Caenorhabditis elegans: one gene and its partner. The protein of the gene in region 1 interacts with the protein of each later gene in a biochemical or structural test. Each region holds a gene or a part of one and is shown on either strand. Other genes may lie near its edges.

Region 1 (16,410 bases):
AAAATTGTGAAACGAAACTGATTGAAATATACTATTTACATATAACCAGAACAATTTTTTTTGGCTGAAATTTATCAAGGAAGTAATTTTTCCAACTAAAATTGACAGCTAACATTTTTAGTTGATGTTCTCTGTAAATACTTTAATAAAAATTATTAATAAAATTCCATACTTGGTCACGTACTTATCATATTTTGTAGCTTTTCGCACAGAAATTCCAAATTTCGATCATATTTCCGATACTGCGCCACACAAATGTTATAAACGCATTGAAGAAGACTCTCCAAATGACGCACGTGGTGTCGCGGTAGTGTGTTTGGCTCTCGTCCAACAGGCCGCTGGTTTGATGCCCGCTGACTGCGGTGACGATCAACTCTTACCTACTATGACAAAAACAATGGTTAGACGTTACTCGTACTGTCTGAGCAGTTTTGTTTTTTTTTTCGAAAAAAAGTTTACATTTTGCCATATTTACATAAATATTCCATTAGTATTTAACCACAATGCTCTATAAGTTCAATAGAAGTTAAGCTTTCCTAGGAAAGTGTGACTTTTAAATTAATAAAGTTTTGAAAACATATTCATGTTGATGGTTTAAGAGTTTCGAAGAGATGACAAATAACTTTGGAGCAGGAGAAGGTCTAAAAAATCAATTTAGAAAATCGTCAAGTAAAATCGAAAATGTGTGGACATTAAACAGTTGACTGCACTTGACTGTTTTCTAACATCATTCTTGTGTTTCGGCAACTACAGTACATCTTTTCATCTTTAAATCGTAGTATGAACTTAACAAGAGTAAAAGTTGCACGTTTTATTTGTTGATCGACCGAGAAGCTCGGCGAGCCCTACCAAACATTGTATATGATTTGCGAGAAACATGTTTGGGAAAAGAAGGATTGATGTGTGGTCAGTGAAATTGATCTAAAAACTAAAATCAAGGGATCACTTGTGCGCGGGGGAGGTTTCAACAATAAAACAACAATTGTGGGGGAAAATCCGGAATAATAAGGCACCGGAAGTATTATATTTTTCTTAATTACAATTATCTTTGATTTTTATCGAAAAACAATTTTCTGTTTCAAACAAGAAATGTACTCACTCCCGACATAAAAATAATATTTTGAAATGGTGATTTTATAAAAGTTTGGGACCTTTAAGTAGTACAATAAAACGTTTTTACCGTTAACTCGCAATGTAATTTGGCTTTTCTATGTTTCTCGTAATTTACCCAAGTTTATGATTTTTTTTACAATTTACATGTGTTTCAATGTTTAAAAAAAGTAAAATTTTTAAGAGAAAGCATGTGAAAATAGAAGAATATTGCAAAATGACGAGGAATGGACACTGTACTACTTAAAGGTGCATACCATTTTTACCGTATTTTTGAAAATCATCTCGCAACTGGGTATAACTTTCCAGTATTCAAGTTGGAGAATGTTAAAGTTCAAAAACTAATTTTTGAAAATGTTTGAGAATCTCCAAGCCGATTATTTTTTTGGGATGAACTTTTTATGATGTCACGAGATAAGAAAACGGACATTGGCCAAGTTGCAAGAGAAACTCGCTATGACGTTCAAACAATTTAACTGAATTTTTTCTTTGAAGATTACGGAAAAAGATAATATGAGTACTTCCCTCATTTGATCAGCCAGCTTTTTCCAAAGATTAGTGAAACAAGAAAACAAAGAAACAGGATCAAACGGGAAGCTGAGAGATGTTGGAGAAGGAAGGAGAAGTCACAGCTACCGTATTGGATGCGGAGAAGAATCGGATAATTAACTGAAATACGTCACGCACATATGGGTGATCGAAAACCTTTTTTTCAAGCGGAACAAAAGATCAGAATGTGAAGTCTCAGACAGTCAATTGAAAATTTATAAGGGAACGGAAATTGATTAGTTGAAAGTATAAACAGTTGTTCATAAATTAAAATTATACGCTATGTAAGTACTTGTTTAGAATTCTCTGGTCTTCTCTTTATTCTGTCATATTTTTCGGATACAAAAGTTTTGGAAACTTTTTTATGTCGTCCCAAAATGAAAATCCGCTCATTTTTTTCTGAAATTGTTACATCGCATTTAGTTTTCCTAAAGTTTTTCATATGGTGAAGTATTCAAAATTAATAAAGAGTTTTTACAAAACCATAAATGTTTGGTTAAAATATTTTTAAAAAAATGAATCAATTTTTGAAAATTATATTTTGACGGCGAATTCCGCCACAGGTTTGTTATTTTGCAAAACAATTATGGAGTTGTTAACACACTTTTTTGGGCACTAAAAAAGTATCAGCGAAGAAACGAATAGATAAGATCGCAAATATTTAAATAAATAAACACTGAAAATGTGAAAGAATTTTATAAAAGTTTAAAACATTGGCAATATTCAATTCCAGAAAAAGAAAAAAGTACCTTTAAAATTTTTGGTTAATTTTGATTTGTTTAACGTGTTTAGCAAGTAATACTTCCTCGTAAAAGAATAATTGAGATATTTTTGGCATAAGAAACCTATTGCCTTTTGTAAACCGGTACAATGCCTAAATAATTTTCATTGCACACTTTTTTTTTAATTACCCAACATTCTTGGCAAGCTAATTTCACCAAAATATATTTTCTAGCTCTTCTCCTTTTATAACCGGTACTTATTTTTAATCAAACTACATCGAAACAACCAAATTGTGCATCGGAGTATTGCAGAGATAAGATGCTGATAGCATCGTACTTTGCATGTCCTTGTAGCCTCATGACATTTCATCTTATGAACCACCGCGAGGTAAAAATGGAACATTAGATGGATTATCCAAGAAAGACTTCAAAAATCCAGCAGGGGGTGCAAAAATAGTTTGAAAATGACATTATCGATTTTAAACGCATTGGAACATTAAAACATTCTCAAAAATTAGTGGCCTTCATTCCGAGATGACAAACTTTTTGGTGGCAAAGGTTCTTTGGGGGCATAGTATCCAAGGAGACAAAGTATCCAGTAGACAAACTGGGGTGTATCTTGGGGGGCATATTTTTGGTGACAACCTTTTTTTCAACTAGATTTTTGTTCACATTTTTCTGGAATAAGTTTTTTAATGCAATTTTCAATCGATTATCGGTTATAATTCCCTCACAATTGAATGTATGAACGATGGTCTTTTGGGAAAAGCTGTAAAACGTCCAACTAACTTGGAATATCGTGAGGCTCTTCCTGATGGTCTGATCCTTCAGCTCCGAAGGATCGTAAGGGTACCTCCTGATGGTCTGATCCTTCAGCTCCAAAGGATCACGAGGCTCTTCCTGATGTTCTGATCCTTCAGCTCCGAAGGATCACATGGGCACCTTCTGATGATCTGATCCTTCAGATAAGAAGGATCGTAAGGGTGCCTCCTGATGGTCTGATCCTTCAGCTCCGAAGGATCGTAAGGGTACCTCCTGATGGTCTGATCCTTCAGCTCCAAAGGATCACGAGGCTCTTCCTGATGTTCTGATCCTTCAGCTCCAAAAGAACATGAGGCTCTGCCTGATGATCTGATCTTTCAGAGCCGAATGATCACATGGGTACCTCCTGATGTTCTGATCTTTCAGCTTCGACGGATCATATGGATTTTTGACAAAATTTGAAAAAAAAATTTTGAAAAAAAACTCGAAATTTTTTTTGTTATTCTTCATTCTTTAAAGAATAGTTCAAATTTATCATGATAGGACCGAAAACTTTCAAGAAACAGTATAACTATACATGATAATCAGCTTCTACCAAATAATGATAAATTCTCCGCGATGACAAACTTTTGGGTGACAAAGTATCTTGGTGGACAAACAAAAATTACCGAAAACTGATGTAAGGAATAGTGAAATAGAGTCCTATGGACTATTAAACATGTTCAGTAGGTGTATTCAGGACTGTCCGTCAAAATAAAAAAAAGTTTGTCAGACGAAGTTCGAACCTGGGACCTGTAGGATGCAAAGTGCGCTCACTACCACTACACCAGCTATGCGAAAGTCGGCCAGCCTCATCGAAGGCTATAATAAAACTTAGTTCGCACGAGTATGATCGACATTCAACAAACAGTAATATCTCTCAACAAGAATTTCTTCATGGAATTGAGGTCATTTGACTATTTTTATCGGTTTTTCAAGTTGAGCATAGGGTCTTTTAATTTTTTGAGCATAGAAAATCATGAAAGCTGCCTGTTCCTTGGAAAAAAATAAAAAATAAATTTTAGGCCTAATCAAATTTTTTCCGGATATTGTTTTTTTGTCATGATTATATGTTTTTAAATTTTTTATAATGTGTTTTATAATTAAATTCGCTATTATTTCCATCGTAATGTCCTTTTCGAGGCAGAATTTGCATTAAATTTCATTGAAAGTTTCGTGCGTCAAATAGGATGCTTCATACGCAAACGTAAAGTACGCAAACACCGACCGTATACCGTATTCATCGAAACAAATTAAATTTTTTGCAACATCTATTTTTCAGCTCGAACTGTTAAATTTTGCTTGAAATGAAGGAAATAATGACGAATTTTGTTATAAAACACATTATAAAAAATTTAGAAACATATAATCATGACAAAAAAACAATATCCGGAGGAAATTTGATTAGGACTAAAATTTATTTGTATTTGTTCCATTTTTCGATATAATATTATCATTTTTGTTCAACTTTCTGGTTCAAAATACAGAGATACACACAATGGACATGAAATGATCACTTTTCAGGAAATATTTTAGGCCAGATACGTCTATTTCGATCCAGGATACAAGGAACAGGCAGCTTTCATGATTTTCTATGCTCAAAAAATTAAAAGACCCTATGCTCAACTTGAAAAACCGATAAAAATAGTCAAATGACCTCAATTCCATGAAGAAATTCTTGTTGAGAGATATTACTGTTTGTTGAATGTCGATCATACTCGTGCGAACTAAGTTTTATTATAGCCTTCGATGAGGCTGGCCGACTTTCGCATAGCTGGTGTAGTGGTAGTGAGCGCACTTTGCATCCTACAGGTCCCAGGTTCGAACTTCGTCTGACAAACTTTTTTTTATTTTGACGGACAGTCCTGAATACACCTACTGAACATGTTTAATAGTCCATAGGACTCTATTTCACTATTCCTTACATCAGTTTTCGGTAATTTTTGTTTGTCCACCAAGATACTTTGTCACCCAAAAGTTTGTCATCGCGGAGAATTTATCATTATTTGGTAGAAGCTGATTATCATGTTTTTTTTTTCAAATTTTGTCAAAAATCCATATGATCCGTCGAAGCTGAAGGATCAGAACATCAGGAGGTACCCATGTGATCATTCGGCTCTGAAAGATCAGATCATCAGGCAGAGCCTCATGTTCTTTTGGAGCTGAAGGATCAGAACATCAGGAGGTACCCTTACGATCCTTCTTATCTGAAGGATCAGATCATCAGGCAGAGCCTCATGTTCTTTTGGAGCTGAAGGATCAGAACATCAGGAAGAGCCTCATGATCCTTTGGATCTGAAGGATCAGACCATCAAGAGGTACCCTTACGATCCTTCTTATCTGAAGGATCAGATCATCAGAAGGTACCCATGTGATCCTTCGGATCGGAAGGATCAGAACATCAGGAAGAGCCTCGTGATCCTTTGGAGCTAAAGGATCAGACCATCAGGAGGCACCCATGTGATCCTTCGGAGCTGAAGGATCAGAACATCAGGAAGAGCCTCGTGATCCTTTGGAGCTGAAGGATCAGACCATCAGGAGGCACCCTTACGATCCTTCTTATCTGAAGGATCAGATCATCAGAAGGTGCCCATGTGATCCTTCGGAGCTGAAGGATCAGAACATCAGGAAGAGCCTCGTGATCCTTTGGAGCTGAAGGATCAGACCATCAGGAGGTACCCTTACGATCCTTCGGAGCTGAAGGATCAGACCATCAGGAAGAGCCTCACGATATTCCAAGTTAGTTGGACGTTTTACAGCTTTTCCCAAAAGACCATCGTTCATACATTCAATTGTGAGGGAATTATAACCGATAATCGATTGAAAATTGCATTAAAAAACTTATTCCAGAAAAATGTGAACAAAAATCTAGTTGAAAAAAAGGTTGTCACCAAAAATATGCCCCCCAAGATACACCCCAGTTTGTCTACTGGATACTTTGTCTCCTTGGATACTATGCCCCCAAAGAACCTTTGCCACCAAAAAGTTTGTCATCTCGGAATGAAGGCCAAAATTAGTTTTATTCGCAAATTCCAAAGTATGCTCGTAAATTTTTGCAATGTTTTGTTACGTCTCGTCTGATCAAGTTATTTAAATCACCTGGAACGGTTTTTGAACGTATTCCTTTTCTGCAACTTTTAGTCTCCTGCTGTTTACAAAATATTCCATTCAGCCGAGCTGGAACGACCTTCACATCCCTTTTAACGCGCCATGGATCCTGTCGTGTATGCATTTAGTAACGGGATTGTCCTTTTCCAAATAGAATAAAAATCGATCTAAATTGAATCATACTTCATTTCCAACTATAATCAAGTTTCCATTAAATCGATCTATTTCTTTTCAGTCGGAGTCAACGTTGATTTGATCAGCTTATCCGCAAACTGCACCTTCTTTCCATTGGGCTTCTCAACAATTTTCCGCTCTTCTGGGACTGTTAATTTGGATATTCCTTTCTCGGATCTGAAATAATTTACAAATAATTGGTTAAAATTTCAATTAAAAAAACCAACCCTGCAGCTTTTCCTAATTCCATGTTAATAACTTGAGTATGCTGTGAATCCGTTTCAGTTTTCTTTTGCAATGTGGTTGCTTTTTGAAGGTTTTTCTTTCCACGAAGCATTTTTATAGAGTTCTGGCTGAAAAATAGAGTTTCAAGTAAATTTGTTAGCTTTTCAATTTTCATTTGAGGGAAACAAAAACTTACATAACACTTTTCTTACTCTTTGTTTCTTCTTTCGGTGGCTCTGGTTTTACCATCACACTATCTTTTGGTATTGCAGTTGTTTCAATTGGAGACACAATAGAAGTCGACGCTGATTTTTTTGTACTGGAAACAAATTGTATTTTGTGGCACAGAATGGGTGAAATTAATTATTCCACAGAAAGGATTGCACTAAATAATAAACAAACCGAGAATCTGCATTCTTCGTTTTTGATCCTCCACCTTTTTGACTGCATAATATCAAAACTCCAGAAATCAGTGATATAATGAGTGCCATTGAAAAGATTTGTGATTTGAGAAGTATCAGATGAATATAGAAATTATTCCAATTTGAGAGCATAGTTGGAAATCTCACCAAATTTTGAAATTTGAAAATGAGTTAGTAATTTTTGAACAATCTGCCAGAGATTAATTAAAGATAAGGAATATCCACAAATTACAAATATTGGATATTAAATATGATTTCACGTCATAACTGAGATTTGTATAATATCATAATTGTACGGAAATATTTAGGTATTAGTATTTCAGCTCACAATCAGACTTTTTAATGAAAACTTAATTCAAAAGGGGATATCTTAAATATCATTACAAAACCTTGTTAGCAGCAGAACTAGAAAGTTTAAAAAAACACCGATTTGTGGTGCATAATGTACAAACATCCATTGACAACATTTCTTTAAAAAATAATTTTTTACTAAAACATTTTGAAGTCAAAATTAAATTTTTTCAAAAATAAAAAATTTACGGGCCTCTAAAGTAGTGGAAAATGCACAGCAAAGTATTCAGATAGACTTTTTTCTTGTTCAAAATGCACCTTTGCCACTAAACCGAAATTCTTGCCTTGTTCATTAATTGTTTCAAGTTTGTAGGATTTTTAGAACTTTGAAATATCTAAATTATTTGTATTCTGAAAAATATTATCATTTCGCAACAAAAAACTAGAAGCAGAATAATTTATTGTGAATCTTGCTATTTTTTATAGTTTGTGAAATTTTTTATACTTCCACATTTCATGAACAGTTTGGTTTGGCCACATGACTAAGGCGTGACCCACATAGAAAACATCAGGTGCCTTTGAAGCAATATTTCACATCTTCGCAAAGCTAAGGTCATTGTTATTTTTGCCATTTCATGACTATAATGGCATCATTTTATTCCCCCAATTTAACCAAAAGTCAGATGCAAAATGTTGAAAGTGTTGCAATTTCAAAGTAGAAAATGTAACTAAACTGTCAAAGAAAATTGTCATACTTTGACCAGAAACCATCTCCCCATCCACCTCCCCTCATCGGAGCCACCCGCCAATCCCAAAATGGTACCTAACATTACTGACACTCTCCCGCACTCAACAATTGACACCTGTCTCAATGACTGATAAGCATGCTGAGTCTCTTCAATCCGCATGGTCTCTAAGCTACTTTCAGAATTGCAACATGCTGCGATGGACATCTTGTCGAAGTTTAAGAGTATGTATAAAAGGACACGAGCTTCATGTATTCTTCACTCGGTCACTTAGATCGATCAATCACTATGAAGTTCTTCATAGCGCTTGCTCTCTTGGGAGCGGCACTCGCCTCGACCCATTTGGATCGTTACAACTCCATCGAGAGAAATATTCAAGAATCGTAAGTTACTTTTTAAATCATTTTTGAGAGTTGACCCTTTTTATATTTCAATTATTTTCAAAAATATCAATCACATTGTACTCCTTTTCAGCTCATTCCGCGCCGGACGCGAGTACCGCTACCTCTTCAATGGCCAGCTCTCTGCCGGACTTCCAGTCCCATCTACCCCACAAGGAATCTCACGTCTTCAATCTCAAGTTACCCTCCAATGGACTGATGGAAACACCGTCCGCATGCAACTCCAGAAGACCCGCTTCGCAACCTCTCAGCAAGAGTCCAACTCCATGAAGATGCTCCCATTCGAGCGTTTCGAGGAGGTTGAGCGCATGAACCGTGAGCACCAAGAGCTTTTGAGCATGCCAGTTGAGTTTGATTACGAACACGGACTTGTCAGAGAGATCCGTTTTGCTGAGAACGATCAGCCATGGTCAGAGAACATCAAGAGAGCCGTCATCAACATGCTTCAAGTCAACATCCTCAAGAAGGAGAAGTACGAAGGAGCTGAGAAGAGTGACAACCAAGAACCAACTTTCTCTTTCACCAATGTTGAGGTAAGTTCTAAATATACATATATATTTGAGTTCGAAATTTGAATAATTGAATTTCAGCGCACCCTCGAAGGAGAATGCGAGGTCCTTTACACCGTTGAAGAGATCAAGAAGGAGGATGAGCAACGTTGGGCTAAGTCGATCAACTTCGACAAATGTACCCGCCGCCCATACATCCATCACGTGCAGACTCCAGTGTGCAAGGATTGCCAGCAAACTCTTGAGCAAGACAAGATGAGCTCCACAGTTCTCAACTACAACATCACTGGAACTTCATCAAGCTTCCTCATCAACTCCGTTGAACTTCGCTCCCAACACCTTTTTGCCCCAATCTCCGAGAAGCATCAACTTGTTTCTGCCTTCACCTTGAACACCATGGAGCTTATCTATGCTGGAGAGAAGAAGACCGAGATCAAGCAAGTCCGCAATGAGAAGACTTCCGAGCTTGTCTACAACCAGGAATCCGAATGGGCTGAGCAACAATGGGCTCAAACTGGAGAGGAGAAGTACCTTAGACAACTCCCACAATGGACCGAGAACAAGGTCGAGATGATCAAAAAGATGTTCTCTTTGATGGCCAAGCAAATCGAACAAGGAGAGGCTGAGCTTGAGGCTGCACACACTGTTGCCAGAATCGTCAAGGTTCTCCGTGAGTGCAACGAGGAGCAACTCGAACAAATCTACCGCCACGTCGCTGAGCACAAGGATGAGAAGATTGCTGAGCAACTTCGCTCCATCTACTTCAACACCCTTGCTCTCGCCGGAACTCGTGTCACCATTCAACAATTCGTTGACAAGGTTCAATCTCGCAAGAACATTGCTCCACTCAAAGCCTCCGTTGCCATCAAGACACTCGTCGACATGCGCTACCCATCTCTTGCTATTGCTGAAGATATCGCTCGCCTTTGCGAATCCGATGTATCTTCAAGCTTCCCAGCTCTTCGTCAATCCTGCTGGCTCACCTACGGAGCTATTGTCAATGGAGTGTGCGGACAAACCCCAAGAGTCTTCGTCCAGAAGAATGGAGTCAAGATGTGCCCACGTGATGCTAAGCAAAGAATCGTTGACAAGCTCGTCCAACAATTCGAATCTGCATCCACCCGCTACGAGAAGGTTCTTGCTTTGAAGACCCTTGCTAATGCCGGACTTGATCTCTCTGTCTACCCACTCGAGAAGATCATTCTCAACGAGCAACACGAAACCACCATCCGCACACAAGCCATCGAGTCATTCCGTCGTCTTCGCACCCAGATGCCAACAAAGATTCAACGTGTTCTTATGCCAGTCTACCTTAACCGTCAACAACCACAACACATCCGCATGTCTGCACTCCATCAGATCATCTACACTCAACCAGAATGGTCCGTCCTTTCCCAGATCGGAAACCAACTCAGACAAGAGCGCAACCAACAAGTTCGTGCCTTCACCCTCTCCCTTCTCCGTTCTTATGCTAACAACGAGTCTCCATGCGAGCAGACATTCTCTTCCCGTGTTCAATCTCTTCTCAACAACATCCCATTCTCATCCCAAGAGATTGATCGCTTCGAGTCTGTCTATGGAAAATGGTCCACCTACTCCAGACGCCACCAATCCGGATTCGAAGCTAACTTTGCTTCCCTCTTCACCACCGAATCTGTTCTCCCAACCGAGATGATGGCTTCGATTGAAGGAGTTCTCTCCGGAGAATGGAACCAATACTTCGCTCAAATCGGATTTACCCAGAAGAATATGGAGAAGATCATCAAGAAACTTCTCTCCAATGTTCAAGAAAAAGGACTTGAACAAATCGTTGTTCGCGGAAAGAGAGCTTCCGGATCCTTCCAACCAACTGAATTCTTGAGCAACCTTCTCGAGAAGCTTCGCATCACCCGTCGTCAATCATCTGAGCAAGATCCACATGCCTTTGTCTACATCAGACACCGTGATATGGACTACGCCTTCCTTCCAATTGATGCTGACTCAATCCCAGAGGTTGTCCGCTCCATGATCCAAGGAGGAAGACTTGAGATCGGAGATATCGAGAGAGTCCTTGCCCAAGGAATCCACTTCTCTGCCTCCAACGCTGCTTTCCTTTACGAGACCGTCCGCAGAGTTCCAACTCCAATGGGACTTCCAGTTCAATTCACCTCCAAGATGCCAACCATCTCCTCCATCCGCGGACAAGTAACTTTCGAGCTTGAGCCAAAGAACGGAAAGAGCTTCGACGGACTTCGCCTTCGTGTTCAAGCTGGGCCACGTGTAGCCTCCACCCACGTCCTTTCTCTTAGAGTTATCTGCCCAATCGCCGAGGTCGGAACCAAGTTCCTTCACCAAGCCGTCCTTAATACTCCAGTTGACACTGAGATCAGAATGAACTGGGAAGACAAGGTTGTTATCCGTGCTATCTACAACACCCCATCCGAGGAGAAGAGAATCGCCATGATCCAATCTCGTCCAGTCACCTTCACCCGCACTGTCGCCCCAGATGCTCGTCAATACCCAGAACCAATCGAGATGACCTACATGCTCCCAGCCCACAAACAACTCAGCCAATCTCTTGACCGTGAATACCCACAAATCCGTGTTCAAGGAACTCTCAACCGCCCAACCAGCGTGAGAATCCCACAATGGATAGTTGACAGCAACGTCGAGGTCTACTACAAGCCAAATGTTGAGCAATACGAGGCTATTTTTGAGCTTAACTTGTACAACAACTACAAGATGGAGAAGAACTACGAGAAGGTATACAAGAAGCATAACGGAAGAAGATATCTTGAGGCTGAGCCAGAATACGATGAGGAAGAGCACCGTGAGCAGATCACAAAGAAGTTCGAATGGCTCCAAAACGAGAAGGTCTACCAACACGTCGCCAAGTTCGAAATCAAGCCAGAGGTTGTCAAGATGGAGGTTGAGGCTGTCTGCAACAATGACTTCCACTTCTGCAAGACCCAAATCCGCGGAGAAGAGCTTAAGGCTACAATCCAATACGTCTACCCACAAACCCCAAGGACTGTTGAGGAGCTCAAGGAGCAAAAGTACCGTCAACTCGTTGTTATGGGAGAGATGAACTACGGAGAGAACACCATTCACATCAACATCAACGGACAACAATCCCAAGAACAAAAGAAGTTCGTCAAGCAAATTGAGCAAGCCCCAGAGCACGAGACCCTTCTCGAGGCATCTAGACTTGACCAATACCAAACTGTTGTTGAGTACGAGTTCGAGCCAAAGCCAGCTCAATACTTCGCCAGATACTGGAACATGGTTCAAGCTTATCTTCGCACCCAATACCCATGGACTTCCAGAATCGAGACCCGTGAGGAGCCAAGCCGCAAGAACATGATCCGTGCCACAATCAATGTTGAACCACGCCAACGTCTAACTGTCAACATGACTATCGAGACCCCAATGGAGACCACCGTTCTTGAGCGTGTCGAGCTTCCATTCAGACTTCCAACTGCCCAAATCCACTACCAGCCAAGAAACTCCCGCTACGAGCAGAAGCCAGTCATGGAGAAGATCGCCCATCACGCTTCCAAGCAAGCCAACTGTGTTGTCAAGAGCACCAAGATCAACACCTTCGACCAAGTTGCCTACCGTAACCAATTCACCCCATGCTACTCCGTTCTCGCCAAGGATTGTGGATCTGAGAAGAGCGAGCCCCGTTTCGTTGTCCTTATGAAGAAGATCAACGAGAAGAAGGAGTGGAAGAACGTCAAGGTTGTCTACGGAGAAAACGAGATTGAAATGTACAAGACTGAGGAAGGACTCATCTGCCGTGTCAACGGAGAAGAAATCGAGTACCAACCAGAATCTGAGATTGAGAAGAAGCAATACAACATCATCTGGCTTAACAAGAACACACTCAAGTTCGATTCTGATGATGTCACTGTTCAATTCGATGGAGTCAATGCCCGTATTCACCTTTCCGCTCTCTACAGAAACCAACAATGCGGACTTTGCGGCCACTACGACAACGAGAAGGAAACCGAATTCTATGATGCTGAGAACCAAGAGAACACCATTCCAGTAAGTTTCTTAATTTTGATACACAACAATAATCATCTCAATTTTCAGAAGTTCGCCAAGAGCTACTTGTACAAGGACTCCAAGTGCAACTACGAGCGTGAGATGTTCGAGAAGGAGGAGAACTTCCAACGCATTGAGAAAAATCAAGAGGAGGAGAAGGACCAAGAGATGAACTACGAGGAATCTCGCCGCGAGCAAGACGATGAGCCAACTGAGCAAGTCGCTATTGTCGAGCGTCAACACGAGATCTGCTTCACCCAGAAGCCAGTTCTTCGCTGCCAAAACGGAAAGTCACAGGAGTCCAAGAAGCAAAAGGTGGTAGTAGTTATACATTTCAATCAATTATTCTGTAACATTTCAGACCTCCGTCTACTGCCTCCCATCCTCCAACTCATGGGCTCGCCGTCAAATGCGCGAGATCCGCCGTGAGCCACTCGCCCAATGGCCAGAGCACAAGCTCCGCAACCTTCGTGACCAACCACAAATGGAGGAGCGCACCGTTCGCGTCGCCGTCGACCAGAAGTGCGACAAGTTCGACTATTGAACTACCTCTTCTTCACAATCATACACATCGTAGGACTATCTTTGTCAATTGAATTGTTTTATAGATTTCAATAATAAACAATTTCAACAATTTTTTGTTTGTGGAAAATTTACTTTAAACATATTCCAATTTGAACTGTTCAATTCAAACAACTCGGCATTTTGCCACAGAGTTCACTTCTACAGTCTCCTCTCGCACGTCGTCAGAGTTCACAAAGAGTTCAGATTTTTCTGTAGAAGTGCGAGGGAACTCTATGGCAAAATGCCGAGTATTTAGAAACATAAAGTTTATGTTGAAACAATCAGAATACGGAAATACAATTGAAATGCAACACCGGGGAAAATTGTCCGATTTCTGTCAATCATAGTTACTTGTTTAACCCGTCTACATTGAATACCCAAGATATAAAAAATCATAGTAATAAATTCTCTGTAAAGCTCTCCTGATAGCTCCATCTTCTTCAATAAGCTTTTCATATTTAAGTCGTAGAGATGTTCCAGATGTTGAGTGCTGGGTTTTTCCTTCTGAAAGTGTTGAAATTGAATGAAATCAAGAATGCAATTAAAAAAAGCTTACTTGAAAGTTCTTCTCTGACTTCGTTCAGATTTTCTTCTGGTACATTTCTATTTTTGAAAACGGTCAATAAATTATCAATCATCTTTATTTTTTCTGTCCCCGTACTCGAATATTGTATTACTGTTGAGTTCTTGATGTTGTTTTTCATATCGCAGTACCTGAGAAACCGTTGAACGATCTTTTGGTTTAAATTTTTGAAGATTCTCATGACTAGGAGAAATGGAAACATGAATTAGGCAATAGGCTAGACAAAAACTGTTATCTTGATCTTAGCGAGACATTATGTCTTTTGTCTTCTTGTAGCCTCTTATGAATTCAAAAGACAGCTTAAAATCCTGGCATGAAGAATTTAATGAAGTTGAGAACTCACCAAGTTTGAGGAGCAAAATGTGTGTCTGCTCCAGTGTAAACAGGAAATAGCATACTCATTCTAATTAAACGTCGATATTCTTTCTGCAAGAAACATCGGATGTCGGTTCCACATCCGTGACAAATATTTGTGTCCGTGTTACTAAAATTTATATTTTGCAGATCCTGATATTATCCTCTAAATCTAAACTTACTTTACACACTTCTCGGTAAATCCTGAAATGAACCGATCATAGGGATTTCGTGTGAAAATTATATTATCAAAGTTAGAATTCAAACTGCGTTGCACCATTTTAAAAGATTTCAATTCATTGTTTTCGCAAAATCTGCAATTGATTAAATTTTCATTCAATTCATTCAGTTTTAGTTGGGAACCAGCTGTAACTGCTGAGAACCAACACCGCTCAAACTTACCTTCCACCATACATTTCCGTTGATATTGTTCTGTTGTTTTTGGTGAAAGCCTCCGGATCTTGTATGTAACATATTGCGGCAGTTCCGATTGTAGACACAACTTTTGGAATAAGACAAAGAGATATATCATAACGAGGAGAAATCTGAAAGGGCTTAGATTTAACTGTGGCCTAGCGGAGCTTACTGTAAAATCTTGAAGATAATCATAAAATGGTGGAACAAATGTTTGATTAAAAGGTATATTGTTGCATTCTGCCAGTACATCATTACATTCTTTCGATTCAATTTCTTTCATTAATATTTGATATTTATCAATACTGAAACATATTGAAAATATGCCCATTACTACCAAAACCGCTTTCGGAATATACCTTTCTGAAAATAAATAAAACATTTAGAAGTAACTTCCCATTTTAAATGCTATAGCTGAAAAAGACTTTCGAAAAACACCACCAGAAACATCTCAAATATGAAACTTTATAGTGTGATTATTAATTTCAAAAACCAGCTAAATGTAAAATCATTGTTAGAAACAGTAAAAATAAGCAAACAAAATAAAATTTAACAAACCCTTTTTTCCGTAATAAAATTTATTTGAAGTTGTGCAATAGGGATTCAACATTTCCGTGAAATGTTCCAAGTCATCAATGTCGCCACCTTCACCACTATCCAGACGCAATAAAGGCTTCCGATCTTCGGCATAGGTCATCTGATAGGTATCGGAAAACACCATTAACGGGTGAGTTTTATGTATTTGACCGAGAAAAAAGCTCTTGAGTAAATAGAATCTGCATGAGGTAATTTTTCTCATTCACAGTTGAAGCCCTAACGAAAAAATCAAATAAAGTAAATACATAAATATTTAAACATTATATTCTGAGCAAAAAGGGAACTATTGGATTATCCGGTTGTCTAACAGATCAGAATACTTTGTATTTAGTTTGATAAACCATAACCGAAAGAATTGTTTAGTGTAAAAAGGGTTGTACTAATGTTGGTAGTAAAGGAGCGGCAAAGTGACAGAAAAATTTATTTTAAAATTATATGAAAGGATGGCATAAGTATTTAATAGGTTTGGTTAATTGCAACAAAAATGTGAAAAGAGCTGAAACATATAACTCGTCCAGGATAAACTGTTTAACTAAGACCAAACAACCAAGCATCGAATGGCATAAAAGAACATGCCACTTAAAACATTGACCGCATCAAGGTTTTTCGTTCTTTTAACTACCTGCCAAAATCTTTCAGCGCTTTTCCTGAGTCATTTTCCCTTCCTCCGCGATTTTCTGAAAACTCGTTTTCATCCGATACATCAGTCTCAATTTATTTTGTGTGACATTGCCGACTTTTAAAGAGCGAGTCTCGGAACGAAGCAGACGGAAAATTGAGAGAAATTTAAGATTAATTTGCTTATTTTAAG
Region 2 (16,410 bases), on another chromosome or scaffold:
AGGAATTGGAAAAAGAAAAGTATATATTCGAAATCAGCGTTAAAAGTAGAATATTATAGCATTTGAAAATTTAAAAATTGGTCAAGAATGAACTTTTCAGCTTCCTGAGCAAGGCTTGAAGCCTACAACTTCAGGAACGGGGCTCGAGAAACTCATGACCGAAAACTTTTGGTTTGTCTCGCTTCTCATAGCAAAAATAATAAGATTTAGGGCATAAAATTCACATTTCAGTAAAAAACTGGTCCAGGAAAAGAGGGAAATTGAAATTTCGAGGTCAAAAATTAAATGTTCTAAAATCGTTGAAAATTATCGTAGAGAGCTGTGCTTTCAGCATCCATTCGGTATTTATGTACTAATTACGAATTTAACATAAAATCCCATTCGGTAGTGGAAAATTTTTTATTTTTAAGGCAAAAACCTCATTTTTTTGACAACATTTTTTCTGGCTCGATTTTCAGAATGAAAAAATAACTTTTTTGGAATAAATTTTACTTTAAGATGTAGCCAGAAGCTTACTCTACAATACTTTCACCTTAAAACCCAAGATTTGTGAAAGAGAACAGCGCACGAAGCGGTGGTTTGAGGATTGCACCCAAAAAAACACACCAAGGGGGAGATGCGGCGGGTGAAAGAGCGCGCACCACGGTTTGGAGCTCAATAAAAGAGGTTTAAAGTGCTCAGATCGAAATGATTTTTAGGTGAACAGACGCGCCTCGTCGAGTTGTATATTCTCCTGGAAAATCTCGTGAAATAACAAAAATAGGAAAAAAATGTCCGAAATGGGACATTTTTTTTGACATTTGCGGAGGAATTGCATTTTCAAAAACGACCCCCCGTGGCACACTCGCGATTTAAGAGGAAAATGCAGACTAGCGCGGCAAGCCGCGCCAGACCTTCGGGAATGGGGATGCCCGAAAAGGTAGCTGGCGCAGGTTCTCGGCTTTGCCTCGAACCTGTGTTGGTGTTATTCGAGATCTCCTTGAAATTTGGGATCGATTGCTCAAAGAACGAAGTCTCTATCACAACTATGAGCGGAGATATAAGCGATTGAAGTTTGAGGAGGGGCGGGCTCGCAGAGCAGGAAGGGGGAGGGGAGGAGAGGTGTGCAAGGTCCTGCACAGGCGTCGGCTGCTGTGAAAGAGGAGGGGCGCGCACGCAGAGTGTGTGGCGGCGCGCGCGCCATGGACAAGTGGTAGAGGACTGGTCTGTCAGGTGGGTACCCCTGGGTTCGACCCCACACAGAGTAAAATATTTTTGTATGTCCTTCACAATTTGGAATCAGAGCGCCTGCGGCGCTCTGACCCTACAGAGAAAGCTGGCATGGCATCGCAGGCCTTCGGCCTGCTCTGCCTATAATTTAGATTCAGAGCGCCTGCGGCGCTCTGAACCGGTAGTAAAAGCCGACTGGCATAGCAGGCCTTCGGCCTGCTCTGCCTATAAATTAGATTCAGAGCGCCTGCGGCGCTCTGACCCTACAGAGAAAGCTGTCATGACATCGCAGGCCTTCGGCCTGCTCTGCCTATAATTTAGATTCAGAGCGCCTGCGGCGCGCTGACCCGGCAGTAAAAGCCTACAATTCAGAAATTTAGATTAAGAATAAGAACAGTTGTCCAAAGCTTCTACTTGTACTCTTTCTTAATTGCAAAAAAAATTTAAAAAACCATTGAAATAATTTAATTCTCTTTGCGTGATAAATAAGAAATGAAAAATTGCCAAATCAGAGGAAGAGAGAGAGTGGAGAGAGAGTTTTTCACGTATTACATATTTTTGTTCATCTTTTTAGTTTTTCGAAAACTTTAATGATGGCCTACATTTTCGAAATTGGGTCAATCAGCTTGTAATCCGCTTCAAAAAATCGGGCTCAAAAAATAAACTAAAAAAGTTCTGGAACAGAAATTGATCCGACTTCTTCTTTGCACTGAAAAAGGGGTTTTAGAGCGATTTTTAGGGTGTTTTTTGGGTAATTTTGGAGAACTTTTTTTTGGGAGCTTCATAAGTTTGCTCAACGTTTTTCAAATTGAGAACGGTAAAAAATATCATGTAGTTAAACCCTTTTTAAAGAGATTAAAAAAAAGAACTCGAATTTTCATCCATCCAGCGCCGAGCTATAAGCCGTGGCAACAATGACGCATGGTCAAACTTTTTCGGACAACTTTTTTCGGACATCGCATGTCAAAAGTTTTTTCAAAAACACCTACCCGTGGCACACACGCGATTTAAGAGGAAAAGTGCAGAAAAAAAATGAAGAAAAAATTGCATTTTTGGCATAAAATAAAAAATATCGTAAATCGGCACAACATGGCGCGCTCCAATGAGAATCGTCTCTGGCGCGCGTGTGTTTGAAAATCGTCTCCTCGCGATTTTCTGCTGGAAAAGAGTTTTTCTGGAATTTTTTCCTCATATATACTCGGAATCAGCACGTGGTGTCAAAGTGTGGCTCCTTTCGGTTTGATCTACGCTGATCTACAAAAAATGCGGCAGAGTTTTCAACTGATTTCGTATGGTTAGGAACGTGCTGAAGTCACATTTTTTTGGGCGAAAAAATTCCCGCATTTTTTGTAGATCAAACCGTGGTGGGACAGCCTGGCAATACGAGCAGCAGGGGCATTTCGGCGCTCCACTCTTAATTTTTTATTTATATTTTTGTAATATATTTAATAATTTTTTAGAAAGAAAAATCGGAATTATTTCGATTTTTAAAATATATTCTGATAAAATTTGGAATTTTTAAAAAATATTCGTAAAGAAAAAATCGGATTTTTTTCGGTTTGTTAAATATTTTTTGAGAAAAAACAGAATTTTTTCGATTTTTTATATATGAAAAATCTCGTGAATCGTCTCCGGCGCGCGTTTGAAAATCAGGGAAATTTTTTCCAATTTTTTTAAACATATATACTCGGAATCAGGAGCACATTTTAAGTTTTCCCATACCGTTCCAGAAGGTATAAAACTAAGCGGAGTCTCTTCATCTCCATATTCCAAATCTCCTTCCATTTCCTCCTCTTCATCATCATTATTTCCAATATCTTCTTCATTAATATCCTCTTTTTCCTGTTCAACTTGTGACACTAAAAGTGGTGGTTCACTATCATCATCATCATCCGACTGAAAGCCTGCTTCAACTTGGGGCTCAACTGATACAATGATTTGTGATCCACGTGGCCCTGCTATCACTTTTTCCTCTTTTTGAGCTTTTTCCGGTTTTCTTGGTGAAGATTTTGGTGGTGGTGGTGGTTGTTGTTGTTTTGACGGAGACGCCTCGTTTTTCGCTATAAGACCCTGAAAATTGTACGTTGAAGCTTTTTTTAGGCGATTTAAATTAATTTCAAAAATTACCACAAAAGAAAAAAATGAAAAACTTTAAAAAATCGCGAAAGAATTAGCTAAATTCTCTTAAAAATGAGAACTTCTAACCCCGCCCACTTCGCCTGATTGGTTGAAAAGTGGGCGGGCGAATCGCTGATTGGTCGGGCGGTTCTCATTTTTGTGGTTTTTGAGATTATTCCAGTTTTTTTTGAATTTTTTAAAGACAAAATCGACATTTTTTTCTATTTTTTGAAAAAAATTTACGGAAAATCGAAAATTGGAATTTTTCGATTAAAAAACAAAAGAAAATCGACATTTTTTCGATTTTTTTAATAGAAAAACAGAATTTTTAGATTTTTTAATTTTTTCAGATAAAATCGAACATTTTGTTGATTTTTATATATTTTTTAACGAAAAATTGGATTTTTTTTGTGGTTTTTTAAAGAAAAAATCGGAAATATATGGAAAAATTTTTTTTTTTTGTGTGAAAATCAGAATTTTTCGATAAAAAAAATCGACATTTTTTCGATTTTTTTAAATAGAAAATCGGATTTTTCTCGATTTTTTAAATTTTTTCAGAGAAAATCGAAAGTTTTTTCTAGTTTTTGATTTTTTTAAGACAAAAGCGGCATTTTTTCGTTTTTTAAAATTTTTACAGAAAATCGAAAATTTGTCAATTTTTTGTGAGAAAATCAGAATTTTTCGATTAAAAAAAAAAAAAATCGAAAATTTTGTCGATTTTTATATATTTTTTAACGAAAAAAAAAACCGGATTTTTTTCGATTTTTTAAACAGAAAATTGGAATTTTCTCGATATTTTTTTTCAGAGCAAATTTTTTTCGAGTTTAGGCCTGATTTTGCTCCAAAAAATCTGAAATAGGCTCAAATTTATTATGTTTCTAGGCATTTTTTTTGTGAAAAATCGCGTTTTTTCGTGATTTTTTCCTGGTTTTTCTAGATTTTTCGTACTAACAAGAGCTTCTTCTGATGGTTGATCATCCCATTCTTCCTCATTTTCAGCGATATCTTCGTCGGCTCCACGGGATACGCTTAGAGCAACTTCTCGTTCAAAAGCTTCCATAAGACAATCTTCGGTGTGCCAATAGAACTCGCGCTGAAAAATGAAATTTTTTGAATTAAAATTGAAATATTCGTTTAAAAAAAAAAAATTTCTGATTTTTTAAATTATTTTGTGAGAAAAATCGGAATTTTTTCGATTCTTTTAATATATTTTTAGAGAAAAATCGGAAATGTTTCAATTTTTTAAATTTTTTAAAAGAAAAATCGAATTTTTTTTTCGATTTTTAATTTTTGTATTAAATTAAAATAGGAATCTTTTTCGATTTTTAATAATTTTTTTAGAGAAAAGTCGGATTTTTTTAATTTGTAATTTTTTTTTTGAGAAAATCAGAATTTTTCCGCTTTTTTATATATATATTTATATTTTTAAAGAAAAATTGGAATTTTTTTTTCGATTTTTTTTTGAGAAAATTGCAATTTTTTCGATTTTTTAAAGAGAAAAATCGGAATTTTTCGATTTTTAATATAAATTTAAAAAAAAAACGGATTTTTTAATGTATTTTTAGAGAAAAATCTGATTTTTTAATGTATTTTTAGAGAAAAATCTGATTTTTTGATATTTTTACTGAAAAATCGGAATAATTTCAATTTTTAATATATTTTTAGAGAAAAATCGGAATTTTCTCGTTTTTTATAAGAAAAATTAGCATTTTTCAATGTTTTTAAATTTTTTTAAAGAAGAAATTGGAATTTTTTCGGTTTTTTAATATATTTTTTGGGAAAAATCGGTTTTTTTTTTTCAATTTTTAATATATTTTCTGCGATTTAATTAGAATATTATCTTCTCTACCTTATTCCGGAAATATTTTCTACATTCAAGGCATAAAAAATGCCGAGAAATTGAAGTCCAGCTCCGTTCCTCTTCGGTTTTTTGTCGCCGCATTCTTTTTTTCTGTTAAAAAAACAATTTTTCGCTGCAATTTCCGTGAAAAGCATTTAAAAATCGTTGAAACGAATGAAAAATTGGAAATTGAACAAAAAAATGGCCAGAAAATCGAATTTTTATGATGAAAAACCGAAAAAATGAGGAAAAAATGAGGAAAAATGAAGAGAAAATAGAAAAATCGATAAATAACAGAGTTCTTCAGTGAGTGGCGAGAGAGTGTGTGAGATGAAGAGACGCAGGGTGTTCGACAGGAGAATTTATTCATAAATCCGCCCAATTAATCGGGTTTCGACCGGAATTTTCGAGCTCCGTGTTGCATTTCGAGAAGCATTTGCATCCCCACCACTTGCGAGCACTCAGCGGAGACGGATGGGCGGTCTGGAAATTTTTTAAAATTTTTTAAAAAATTAAATTTGAGTTTAGTGGAAATATTTTTAAAATACGCTAAAAAATAGGTTTTTTTTTTCACAAAAATCAAAAATTTTGCGATTTTCCACGTCTGAAACCAATCAATTTTTCCCTTTGAAATTAATTTAAATTTTGGTGGAAAATGTCAAAAATTGCCAGAAAAACTTTAAAAAATTCAAGAATTTCCCACAAAATTGTAGTAAAATTGTCAATTTTCAGTTAAAAACCAAAAAAAAAAACAAGATTCTCCAGGTTTTGCTCCAAATTTGCTCCTTGTTTAAAATATCTATGTGAAAAATTGGAAAAAAAAGTCCCTTTTATTGTAGAAAATCGACGATTTTCAAACGCGCGCCAGACATTGAAGCGCGCTGTGTCTTGTGCCGATTTACGAGCCAGCTTTCAGCTTTTTATTCATTTTTATCGGTTTTTTTCGTTGAAAATTGTGTATTTTCGAGCCAATTGAACATTTTATGATCAGAAAACCGCGAAAATTTCCTATTTTTAGATGAAAAAGGAGGTAAATTCAGAGAAAATCGGAATTTTTTGAGTTTTTAAAGAGAAAATTGGAGTTTTTAAATAGAAATTTTCTCGAATTTTTTTTTCGATTAAAAAACAATTTCTGTTTTTCGATTTTTCTCTGAAAAAATAGAAAAAAAAAATTTTAATTTTCTCTTTTAAAAAATCGAAAAAATTCTAATTTTCTCCTTAAAAATTTCAAAAAAATTCCGATTTTCTCTTTTAAAAAATGGAAAAAATTCCGATTTTCTCTGGAAAACTATATGAAAAAATGGAAAAAATTCCGATTTTCTTTGAAAAAATCGAAAATATTCCGATTTTCTCTAAAAAATCAAAAAAAAAATCGAAAAAATTCCGATTTTCTTTGAAAAAAATTAAAAAAAACGAAAAAATTCCGATTTTCTCTGGAAAGAAATAGAAAAATTCCGGTTTTCTATTTAAAAAAAAAAAGAAGAAAAATTCCGATTTTCTTTGAAAAAATCGAAAAAATTCGGTTTTTTTTCTCTGAATTTAAATCATTTTCCATCTAAAAATAAGGAAATTTTGCGAGTTTTATAATAATAAAATGTTCAAAAAACCGAAAAAAAAAATGAAGAAACAGCAAAAAATTGGCTTTAAAAAAACAAATCTCGTAAATCGACACAACACGGTGCGTTCCAATGAGAATCGTCTCTGGCTCTCTGGCGCGCGTTTGAAAATCGTCGATTTTCTACAATAAAAGGGACGTTTTTTTCCAATTTTTCACATAGATATTCGGAATCAGGGGAAAATTTAGAGCAAACCCCTGAATTTTTTTTAGTTTTTAACTGAAAAGTGACAATTTTACTACCATTTTATGGGAAAATCTTGAATTTTTTTCTAGGTTTTCTGGCAATTTTTACCTAAATTTCCAGCAAAATCGCAAAATTTCCGATTTTACAGGTGAAAATCGGCAATTTTTGTCGTTTTCCAACACATTTTTAGGGAAAAAATCTTAAAATCAACTTTTCCATGCTTTTTCCAGAATTCTATCCAGAAAAATAATGACCTTTATAACTACATGTTTCTTTGTATCAATCAGTTCTTCCTTCTTATGAGCAAATCCTCCCCATAACAAAAAGACAATAGGCTTCTCCGATTGTCGCGAAATAATCCGAATAACAGTGTCCGTGAAAGTTTGCCAGCCGATCTTCGCGTGAGAATTCGCCTCGTGAGCCCGAACCGTCAACGTGGCATTCAACATGAACACTCCCTGACGTGTCCAGCCGAGCAGGTTCCCGTGATCGGGCCGCTTGAAGCCTTCAATATCGGATTCAAGCTCTTTATAGATATTTTTCAGCGATGGCGGCGGTTTTACACCCTTCTGAACACTGAAGGAGAGCCCGTGAGCTTGATTATCATCGTGATAGGGGTCTTGACCGATGATAACCACGCTGATCTCGTCGAATGGCAGAAGATTGAATGTTGTGAAAATTTGTGTGGGCGGTGGGAACACTTGCTTGCCCTTGTTCACTTCGGAATTCAAGAATTTCTCGATTTTCGAAATATAGCCTTTTTTGAATTCCTCCTCTAAAAGTTTCGACCAAGATTCACCGGTTAGCAGGGATTTTAGCAGAATTTCAGTTGGTTCTGGTGCTTGTAACTTCATTTTCTTGACTTCTTGATTTTCATTGCCCGCGGGAACTTTTTCCGGAATATTTTCAGTATTTGAAGCGGATTTTCTGAAATTTCGGTGGTTTTTTTTGAATTTTCAGAGCGGGAAATACCGTTTAGAGGCAGCGGATGCTTTGAGGAACATGTCCGGAATTCTTACAGTCTTCGACATTCTGAAATAAACGGAAATCTAGAAGAAAAAAAAAGAATTTTTATTCAAAAAACACGAGTGGAAATGAGATAAAATAAACCTGAGGGCATAGATAAGGATATTTGAAAAATTAAATCACAAAAATGGGAAATTATTCGAGTTATTTGCAGGCAAACCGGTGAATTCGTAACCTGAAAATGAAGAAAATCGATAAAAATCATTTAATTTCGCATTGACTACGGTAGGTAATTGTGTGCACTTTTGCGTGGCGGTGTATGCACAGAATTGATTTTTAAAAAAAATTAATTTTTTTTTAAATTTTAAAATTAATTTATTGAATTTTTCGACGATTTTCTTGAACTTTTCTCACACATTTTTGTGCAAAAACTCTTATTTTCAAACTTTCAGACTCAAAACGCACTGGAAAATCATTAGAAATGGCACCGAAGAAGAAAATGGTAATTTTTATGGCGAAAATTACTTGAAACAGACAAAAAAATCCGAATTATCGAAAAAAAGGACTCTCCCGCCGAAATGTCTCGTTTGAATGGGGTGGCGGCAGCTAGGCCGTGGTTGCACGCGGTCACGTCCAGATGGTCGATAATATTGGCGTTATTGGAGGAGTACGGGGGTTTTTAATGTATAATAATAAGAATAATAATTCAAAAAAAGTGCACTTTCGGACGCTGCAGCACGGAAAAGTGGCCAAAATTAGAGATTTTAGTTAAAATTAGCGCTTTTTTTTTCGAAATTTTGATTTTTTTTTTCACAATTTTCACAATTCCTTTAAAGGTGGGGTAGCGCTAGTGGGGAAATTGCTTTAAAACATGCCTATGGTACCACAATGACCGAATTTCATGATAAAAAATTCAAAAAAAAATTTATAAATTTTATATGATTTTTTGAAAATTGAAAAAATCACAGTTTTCCCCTAATTCCTATTTGAATTACCGCCAATTGAATTTGTTCGATGGGGCGCGCTTGCACGTTTTTAAATTTATTTATTTTATTTTTTGTTATTTTCCACCGATTTTTAATGTTTTCGGTGTATTTTTGCTCGAATTTTAGAGAAAAAATCAACATAAATGCAAATTTTCGATTAAAAAGCACGCTTACAGGCGTAAAAATGAAAAAGTAACGCTTTTAAACGATTTCGAACCTGAATTAATTAATTTCACTGATTTACGCCTGTAAGCGCACTTTTTAATCGAAAATTTGCATTTATTTTGACTTTTTCTCTAAAATTCGAGCAAAAATACACCGAAAACATTAAAAATCGGTGGAAAATAACAAAAAATAAAATAAATAAATTTAAAAACGTGCAAGCGCGCCCCATCGAACAAATTCAATTGGCGGTAATTCAAATAGGAATTAGGGGAAAACTGTGATTTTTCCAATTTTCAAAAAATCATATAAAATTTAGAAAAAATTTTTGAATTTTTTAATCATGATATTCGGTCATTGTGGTACCATAGGCGTATTTTAAAGCAATTTCCCCACAAAGCGTAGTCCACCTTTAAAATTTTTTGGCACATTTTTCTCAATTCCTTTTAAAAAATGTACCTTGATTCTGAAATCCAGGCTGCTGAGAAACCGTGTCAAACCCTCTGCCAACAAGATTATCCATGTATCCAGTGGTTCCACCGCCGTACCCATATCCATTGCCGAATCCATTGTTGTAGGTCCAACTACCAGGCTGATTTTGAAACTGGAACTGCTGGAAATTGTTGTTGGCTGCGAAGCTTTCTGTCGGAGGATTCGGCGTTGTTTCAAAAACGATATTCGGCTTCGGCTCAGGCTTCTTCCTCGGCGGCCTTTTTCTCTTCGGCTTCGGGATCGTCGCTGTTCCGTCAGCTACTACAGTTTCCACGTCATCTGCTTTCTTCCGTCTTGGCGTGGCTTTTTTCTTCGGTTGGGCTTGAATCGGCGGGCTATGAGCCTCATCAGTCGGCTTTACAGTGCTATAAATGTCCCGTGACAATTGAAACTCTGTTGGCTCTGGCACACTCGTTGTAGTGGCTTCTTCCAGAGGTTCAGCTACGGAAGAGGCTGCAATTAATCAATTTGTGAAGCAGGCGTGGGCGGCAAATTGGGCATTTTGCCGATTTGCCGGAAATTTTTAAATTCCGGCAATTTTCCACTTTGCCGGAAATCTTCTTTATCGGCAAAATTCAGGCAAATAAAAAAAGCGAATAAATTCACACTTGTCAAAGCGTAGTGCAAAACAGGGGTGGGCGACAATTTCCGGTCTGCAAATGTTTTATTCCTCCAATTTGCTGAGTTGCCAGAAATTTACGACTCCGGCAAACTTGCCGATTCGCCGGAAATTTTCAATTTCCCACTATTTTCCGATTCGCAGAAAATTTTCAATTCCGGCAATTTGCCGATTCGCCGGAAATTTTCAATTCCGGAAATGTGCCGATTTGCCGGAAATTTTTAATTCCGGAAATTTTGATTTTCGGCAGATTGGCGATTTGCCGGAAATTTCGATTTTCGGAAATTCGCCGATTTGCCGGAAATTTTCAATTCCGGCAATTTGCTGAGTTGCCGGCAATTCTGATTTTCGGCAGATTGGCGATTTGCCGGAAATTTTGATTTTCGGCAGATTGCCAATTTACCGTGAATTTTCAATTCTTACTATTCTCCGATTTGCCGGAAATTTTCAATTCCCACAATTTGCCGATTTGCCGGATTTTCCGCCCACCCCTGATGTAAAATATTCAATATCTCTGAACTCACCGCTCGCAACCGCTTGATCTTCATCTCTCTGTGATTCTACAGTTGAACTGGACTCTGGCTCTACATTCGGTATCTCAGCTTCGGGCTTCTTGGCAGTGCACTTCGGAATATCTTTTCTGGACGGCGGTGGCACAAATTCATATCTCAATCGTTCGACTTCATCTCGGCTGAGCCAAATATTTTTTATACGAGATCTCTCTGAACGTCTTGGAGCCAATACTTGAGCTTCTTGTTCCGGTGGTGTAACTTCATTCGTGCCTCCGATATTGCCGTCAGAGTGGCCACTACACTGAGGAATCGGAACTTCTGCAACATCCCAGTCGGGTGGAGGCGTTGAAGCAGCTGATCCTGATTCTCCAGGGTCTTCCATCGGAACGTCGGAAGAAGGATCAGTTGAATTCTGGTCGGAGGTATTGTCTCCCAGCTGATCGTTCGAAGAAGGATCAGTTGAAGGCTGGATGGTGCAGTTGTCCTCCAACTGAGCATGTGCCGAAGGATCAGTTGATGGCTGATCGGAGCTTTTGTGTCCAAGCTGAACGTTCACAGAAGGATCAGTGGATTGCTTGGTGGTGCTGTTCACTCCTATCTGGACATCAGAACAAGGATCAGGAGATGGCTGATCGGAGGTGTTGCGAAGCGGCTCACCCACATCAATCGTAGATTCCAGGTTATCCGAATTCGGATTTTGATCTATTCCAGAGCATATTTCACTATCGGTATTAGAGTTTTCCGAAACAGTATTAGAAACGGCTGGGCTCGACTGATCTGGCTGTTCTTTAAGAGATTCAGCGCAGCTTGACTTCTCGACACCTTCCGAGTTGGAGTGCTCGGATGCTTGTTGCTCAGGCTGCACAGCTCCAGTAGTACTTTCCGAAAAGTCGTCTCCTGCTCCAGCATCGTCAGCAATATCATTGGAACCTTCTGTCACTGATGGACTGATTTCGTTTTCCGGATCCTGATGAGTGGCTATGTCGCTTATCGGAGTCGCAGTATCTGAAAAGTTATTCAATTTTTCGGCAATTGCCGGTTTTCAAAATTTCGAGCAATCGGCAATTTCCGCAATTGCCGGTGTTAAAAAGTTCTGGCAATTTCGACAATTGCCGGTTTTGTAAGTTTTCGGCAATTTCGGGAATTGCCGGTTTTTAAAATTTTGAGCAGTCGGCAATTTCGGCAATTGCCGATTTTCAAAAGTTTCGGCAATTTCCGCAATTGCCGGGTTTTAAAATTTCCGGCAATTTCGGTGATTGCCGAAAATTCGATTGCCGTGCAATCCTGTCTCTGATGTACTAATTGGCTTGAAATAAGCCAATATTACTAAACAACTTACCTGTTTGATCTGAACTGTCTCCAATTTGTTGCGTTTCTGACTGCTGAAGTTCGGCATTTATTCTGACACTTGGCTCTTCAACCACGCCTGTGATCGGAATCAGCTTTCCATGAAATTCTCGCTTCCTGCCAGAAACTTCCTGATCTATTTGTTGGCGCCCAGTTCGAACCTCCTGGGTAGAAACCGAAGGTCTTGAAGCGAAGACAGGATGATCTGTACTAGGCACAATCTCAGGCCTCGGGAAGTAGCTATCATTCGCGATTGCGAACCGCTGACTTCGAGCCCGAGCTGCCGTGTACCGCGAGCTTCTCATCTTTTGCTCGCTAATCATCTTCAATCCGTCCTTCCAAGCATCGTTGCTCTCGTCGAGTTTATCCGGATTAACGAACTGTGTTTCGATGGCATGCTTCAGCACATCATTCACATATCGATGAATTATCATACTATATTCATAGTTTTCCAGTATATGTCTTTCAATCTCGGCAAACATTAGCTTCTCCCGTTCTTTGTTGGGCAGAAGCAACAGAACACACGCTTCCTGTGTCACTGTTACAGTGCTCAAGTAGTTTTTGATTCGTTTCACATCACTTTCGCTGAAGCTCGCTAGTCGTTGGCCTATCTGATCGAGAATCGTGTGAATCGTTGGATCGGTGAAGAGTGGAGTGCTGGATGTGCTTGAACTAGGACCAGGTGGTTCGGGATGTGATCTGGAAGTTTTTTTTTGTTGAAGTTGCACGAAAAATCGCGAAAAACTTCCGACCAATCAGCGATTCGCTCTGCCCAACCAATCAGGTGGTGTGGGCGGAGTTCGAGGATGCTGATTGGTCGGAGCGAATTTAGCGATTTTTTCAATTTTTGAGTACTTACTGCCTAGCAAGCCGGGGTACTTTAGGGTGATGACGCCTTTCCTCACTGTCTTCGTCGTTCATTTCTGGAAAATTGTTGTGATTTCGAAAGGAAATTGCAAGAAAATTGGAAAATCTCGATTTTTTTAGAAATTTATATGGAAAAATAGAGAAATAGTTTTTTTAAAAGGTTTTTTTTCAATTTCAAGAAATTCTGAATTTTAAGAATGTGAAAATGTATCGTTTGAAATATTTTTTCATGTTGAAACTCAGAAAATTATCAAATTCTATACAGCGGTTGCCGATTGGCAAATCGACAAATTGCCGGTTTGTCGATTTGCCGGAAATTTTCAATTCCGGCGATTTGCCGATTTGCCAGATAATATCATATCCCGCAAACCGCCAATTTGCCGGAAATTTTGAAATACGGCAATTTGACGATTTGCCGGAAGTTTTATTTTAGAATCCGATTGCCAATTTGCCATAATTTTGATTTCCGGCAAAGTGGCGGAATTTAGATTTTTGGCAAATTGCCGATTTGCCGGAAATTTTCAATTCCGTCAATCTGCCGATCTACCGGAAATTTTCAATTCCGACAAATTGCCGATTTGCCGAAAATTTCCCATTCCGGCAATATGCCGATTTGCCGGAAATTTTGACTTTCGCCAAATGGTCGATTTGCCGTAAATTTAAATTCCGGCAATTTGCCGATTTGCCGGAAATTTCAAATCCGTCAATTGTCGATTTGCCGGAAATTTTGATTTTCGGCAATTTGACGATTTGCCGGAAATTTTCCATTTCGGCAATGTCCCAATTTACCGGAAATTTTCAATTCCGGCAATGTGCCAATTTGCCGGAAATTTCAAATCCGCCAATTTGTCGATTTGCCAGAAATTTTGATTTTCGGCAATTTGCCGATTTGCCGAAAATTTTCAATTCCAACAAATTGCTGATTTGCCAGAAATTTTGGTTTCCGTCAGTTTGCCAAGTTGTCGGAAATTTCAAATCCATCAATTTGCCAATTTGCCGGAAATTTTCATTTTCGATAAATTGCCAATTTGCCGGAAATTTCAAATCCGCCAATTTGCCAATTTGCCGGAAATTTCAAAATTTCTGATGAATCTATATAGGTTTTACACATTTTTGTGTGCCAATTTTCTAGAAAAAAAAATTAAGCCCACAAAATATGTGTAAAACCTATATAGAGTACAATATTTTTTGGAAATAATTTTTTTGGCGGAATTGAAAATTCCGGCAAATCGCGGATTTGCCAAAAGATGCTCTATGTACATGAAAACATTGAAAAGTTGGAATTTCTTAAAATTTCAAAAAAAACCAAAAAAGAGCAGAAAATAGATAGCAATGCGATAAAAAAAAGAGCAAATATCAGAGCAAAATGCCATTGTGAACTATATGCCTGTGCCCAGTGTTCCCACGGCATACGGCAGGTTTCGGTATTGCCCACGGCACTGGGGACGATTGTAATGTGGTCAATGTTCCTCAATAAATTGAAGGTGGCTAGAGAAAACGAGACTATCTGTGCAACTGGTATGGAAAGAAAATTGGGAAAAGAGGAAGGAATGAAGAAAAGGAAAGGAGATGGCTGTTTTTTTTCTAGTCAAGAGGGCGAGAGTGAGGCTGTTCAGCCCTCACAAAAATTATGATGTTGGAGACATAGAGAAATAGAACGACGCCGGGACACAGACAGACAATGTTTAATTCGAGGAGACGCTGATGAATTTAAATTTGGAGAGGAAGCACTTTTAGAAGAAAAATACATTTGAGAAGCTTTTGGAATTTTTTTGGAGACTTTTGGAGAAGGATTTTGCCTTAAAATATCCAGAAAAGTCGAAAAAAATATGGAAATCCAACGAGATTTTCTTATTTTGGCTAAATTCCCTCCAAAATGAGGCGACCAATCAGCGATTCGCTTCGCCCACTCTTCAACCAATCGGGTGAAGTGGGCGGAGCTCGAAGATGCTGATTGGTCGGGAGGTTTTTGTGGTGTTTGACGCCGGGAGGAATTTAGACGAATCAGCGCCAATTTTCGTGCCAATCAACGCTGATTGGTTCAAAAGTGGGTGGAGCCAGGCTTGGTGATTGGTCGGTGTGGAATTTTGGAAATTTTGCGATTTCTTACCGTAATCCTACTGTAAATTATGGTAAAATAGAAATTCGGGATATTGGGAAATGTACAACAAATATTTCTCACATATTTGAAAATTGGGAACACAAAATTCCGAGAATGCGTATTACGCAACATATTTGGCGCGCAAAATATCTCGTAGCGAAAACTACAGTAATCCTTTAAAAGACTACTGTAGTGTCGATTTACGGGCTCGATTTTTTTGCAGGTGCCAGGCCCAGGCCCCGTCACCACTGCTACAGTAGTCTTATTTATGTAAAGGATTACTGTAGTTTTCGCTTCGAGATATTTTGCGCGTCGTCAACTATGTTGCAAGATACGCATTCTCAGAGTTCAGTGTTCCCTGAATATGGAAAACGTGAACATATCAATGAAAACTCGTGATCTACAAAAAATGCGGGAAACGAGATGAACGAGCTGACGTCACACTTTTCCGGGGAAAAAAATGGCGCATTTATTGTAGATCAAGCCGTGATGGGATAACCTGACACCACGTGAATGCGCAGGATATTCTGCTTTATTTTCTAGAAACGTTCGGCCGGGAGGGCACGTGTGTTGTTGAATGAAGTCAGAGCCGCGCCGCAGCAGCACACAGGCCAATGGCACTTGGCCACTCTTCTTTCGTGTCTGTCGTCTCGCCGTCTCTCTATCGCGTTCTTCGTCGTTTTTTTGTCCTTCGTTTTTTTTGCTGCTTTCTGCCCAATGACAGATGGACGAGAATTTTGGGTTCAGGCTAGGCCAGATGTTCGAGATCGTTTTTTATTTGTTGGAACATTTTTTTTTGTTGTTGCAATGAACAAAGTCTCTAGGAAAAGTGAAAAATTGATTTTTGGACGGTTCTCCAGGCAGTTTTTGCATTTTTTTTCAAATTGCATAATTGAAAAAAAAAACCTGAGGAGTTTGAAATTGGTGTCCCAAAAATCAGACCAAAGTGTTTGGAAAAAATGCCTAATTTCTGCTAAATTCTCAATCTTTGCTCAATGTGTTTTGTTACACATATGGAATTTGCCGAAGATTTCAAAAACGGCAAAGTGCCGATTTTTGCTGGATACGAATTTGCCGGAAGTTTTTGAAGGGATTTTAAATAAGACGGAAACACTTAAAATTGTGAAAGTGTTTTCCCGTTTTCTTTAGATATTCTCACTTATTTTTCAAGATAGATGTAGTTTTTCCGGCAAATTGGGGGAAATAACGGCAATTTGCCGGTTTGCGGACAATTTGAATAACGGCAATTTGCCAGTTTGCCAAAAATTTGGAAAACGGCAATTTGCCGGTTTGCTGGAAATTTGAAAAACGGCGATTTGCCGGTTTGCCGAGTTTGCCGAAAATTTCAAAAACAGCAATAAACTCGCCTCAGCTATGAACCAAAACTCC

The links.
Region 2: the proteins of vit-6 (region 1) and ung-1 form a complex in vitro, tested with the Caenorhabditis elegans proteins (one large-scale study listed by BioGRID).

Annotation. Positions count from the first base shown.
Region 1 is NC_003282.8:8,252,737-8,269,146, forward strand, and holds vit-6 (Vitellogenin-6), read left to right. Parts: upstream 1-8,436; coding exon 8,437-8,531; intron 8,532-8,622; coding exon 8,623-9,082; intron 9,083-9,139; coding exon 9,140-13,087; intron 13,088-13,135; coding exon 13,136-13,405; intron 13,406-13,448; coding exon 13,449-13,631; 3' UTR 13,632-13,723; downstream 13,724-16,410. Other genes in the region: K07H8.7 (Lipoprotein), read right to left, coding at 6,512-6,641, 6,692-6,817, 6,886-7,008, 7,092-7,243; K07H8.8 (sulfotransferase family protein), read right to left, coding at 14,016-14,155, 14,208-14,365, 14,578-14,718, 14,771-14,902, 14,991-15,133, 15,175-15,365, 15,561-15,612. UniProt on the Caenorhabditis elegans protein: Precursor of the egg-yolk proteins that are sources of nutrients during embryonic development. May play a role in cholesterol uptake. May be involved in thermotolerance.
Region 2 is NC_003281.10:11,966,090-11,982,499, forward strand, and holds ung-1 (Uracil-DNA glycosylase), read right to left. Parts: upstream 8,002-16,410; 5' UTR 8,001-8,001; coding exon 7,942-8,000; intron 7,897-7,941; coding exon 7,224-7,896; intron 5,651-7,223; coding exon 5,534-5,650; 3' UTR 5,378-5,533; downstream 1-5,377. Other genes in the region: Y56A3A.28 (C2H2-type domain-containing protein), read right to left, coding at 2,932-3,279, 4,280-4,420, 5,177-5,269; Y56A3A.30 (SP-RING-type domain-containing protein), read right to left, coding at 8,115-8,170, 9,543-10,028, 10,719-11,711, 12,046-12,752, 12,913-12,974; Y56A3A.31 (SOSS complex subunit A homolog), read left to right, coding at 8,417-8,437. UniProt on the Caenorhabditis elegans protein: Excises uracil residues from the DNA which can arise as a result of misincorporation of dUMP residues by DNA polymerase or due to deamination of cytosine.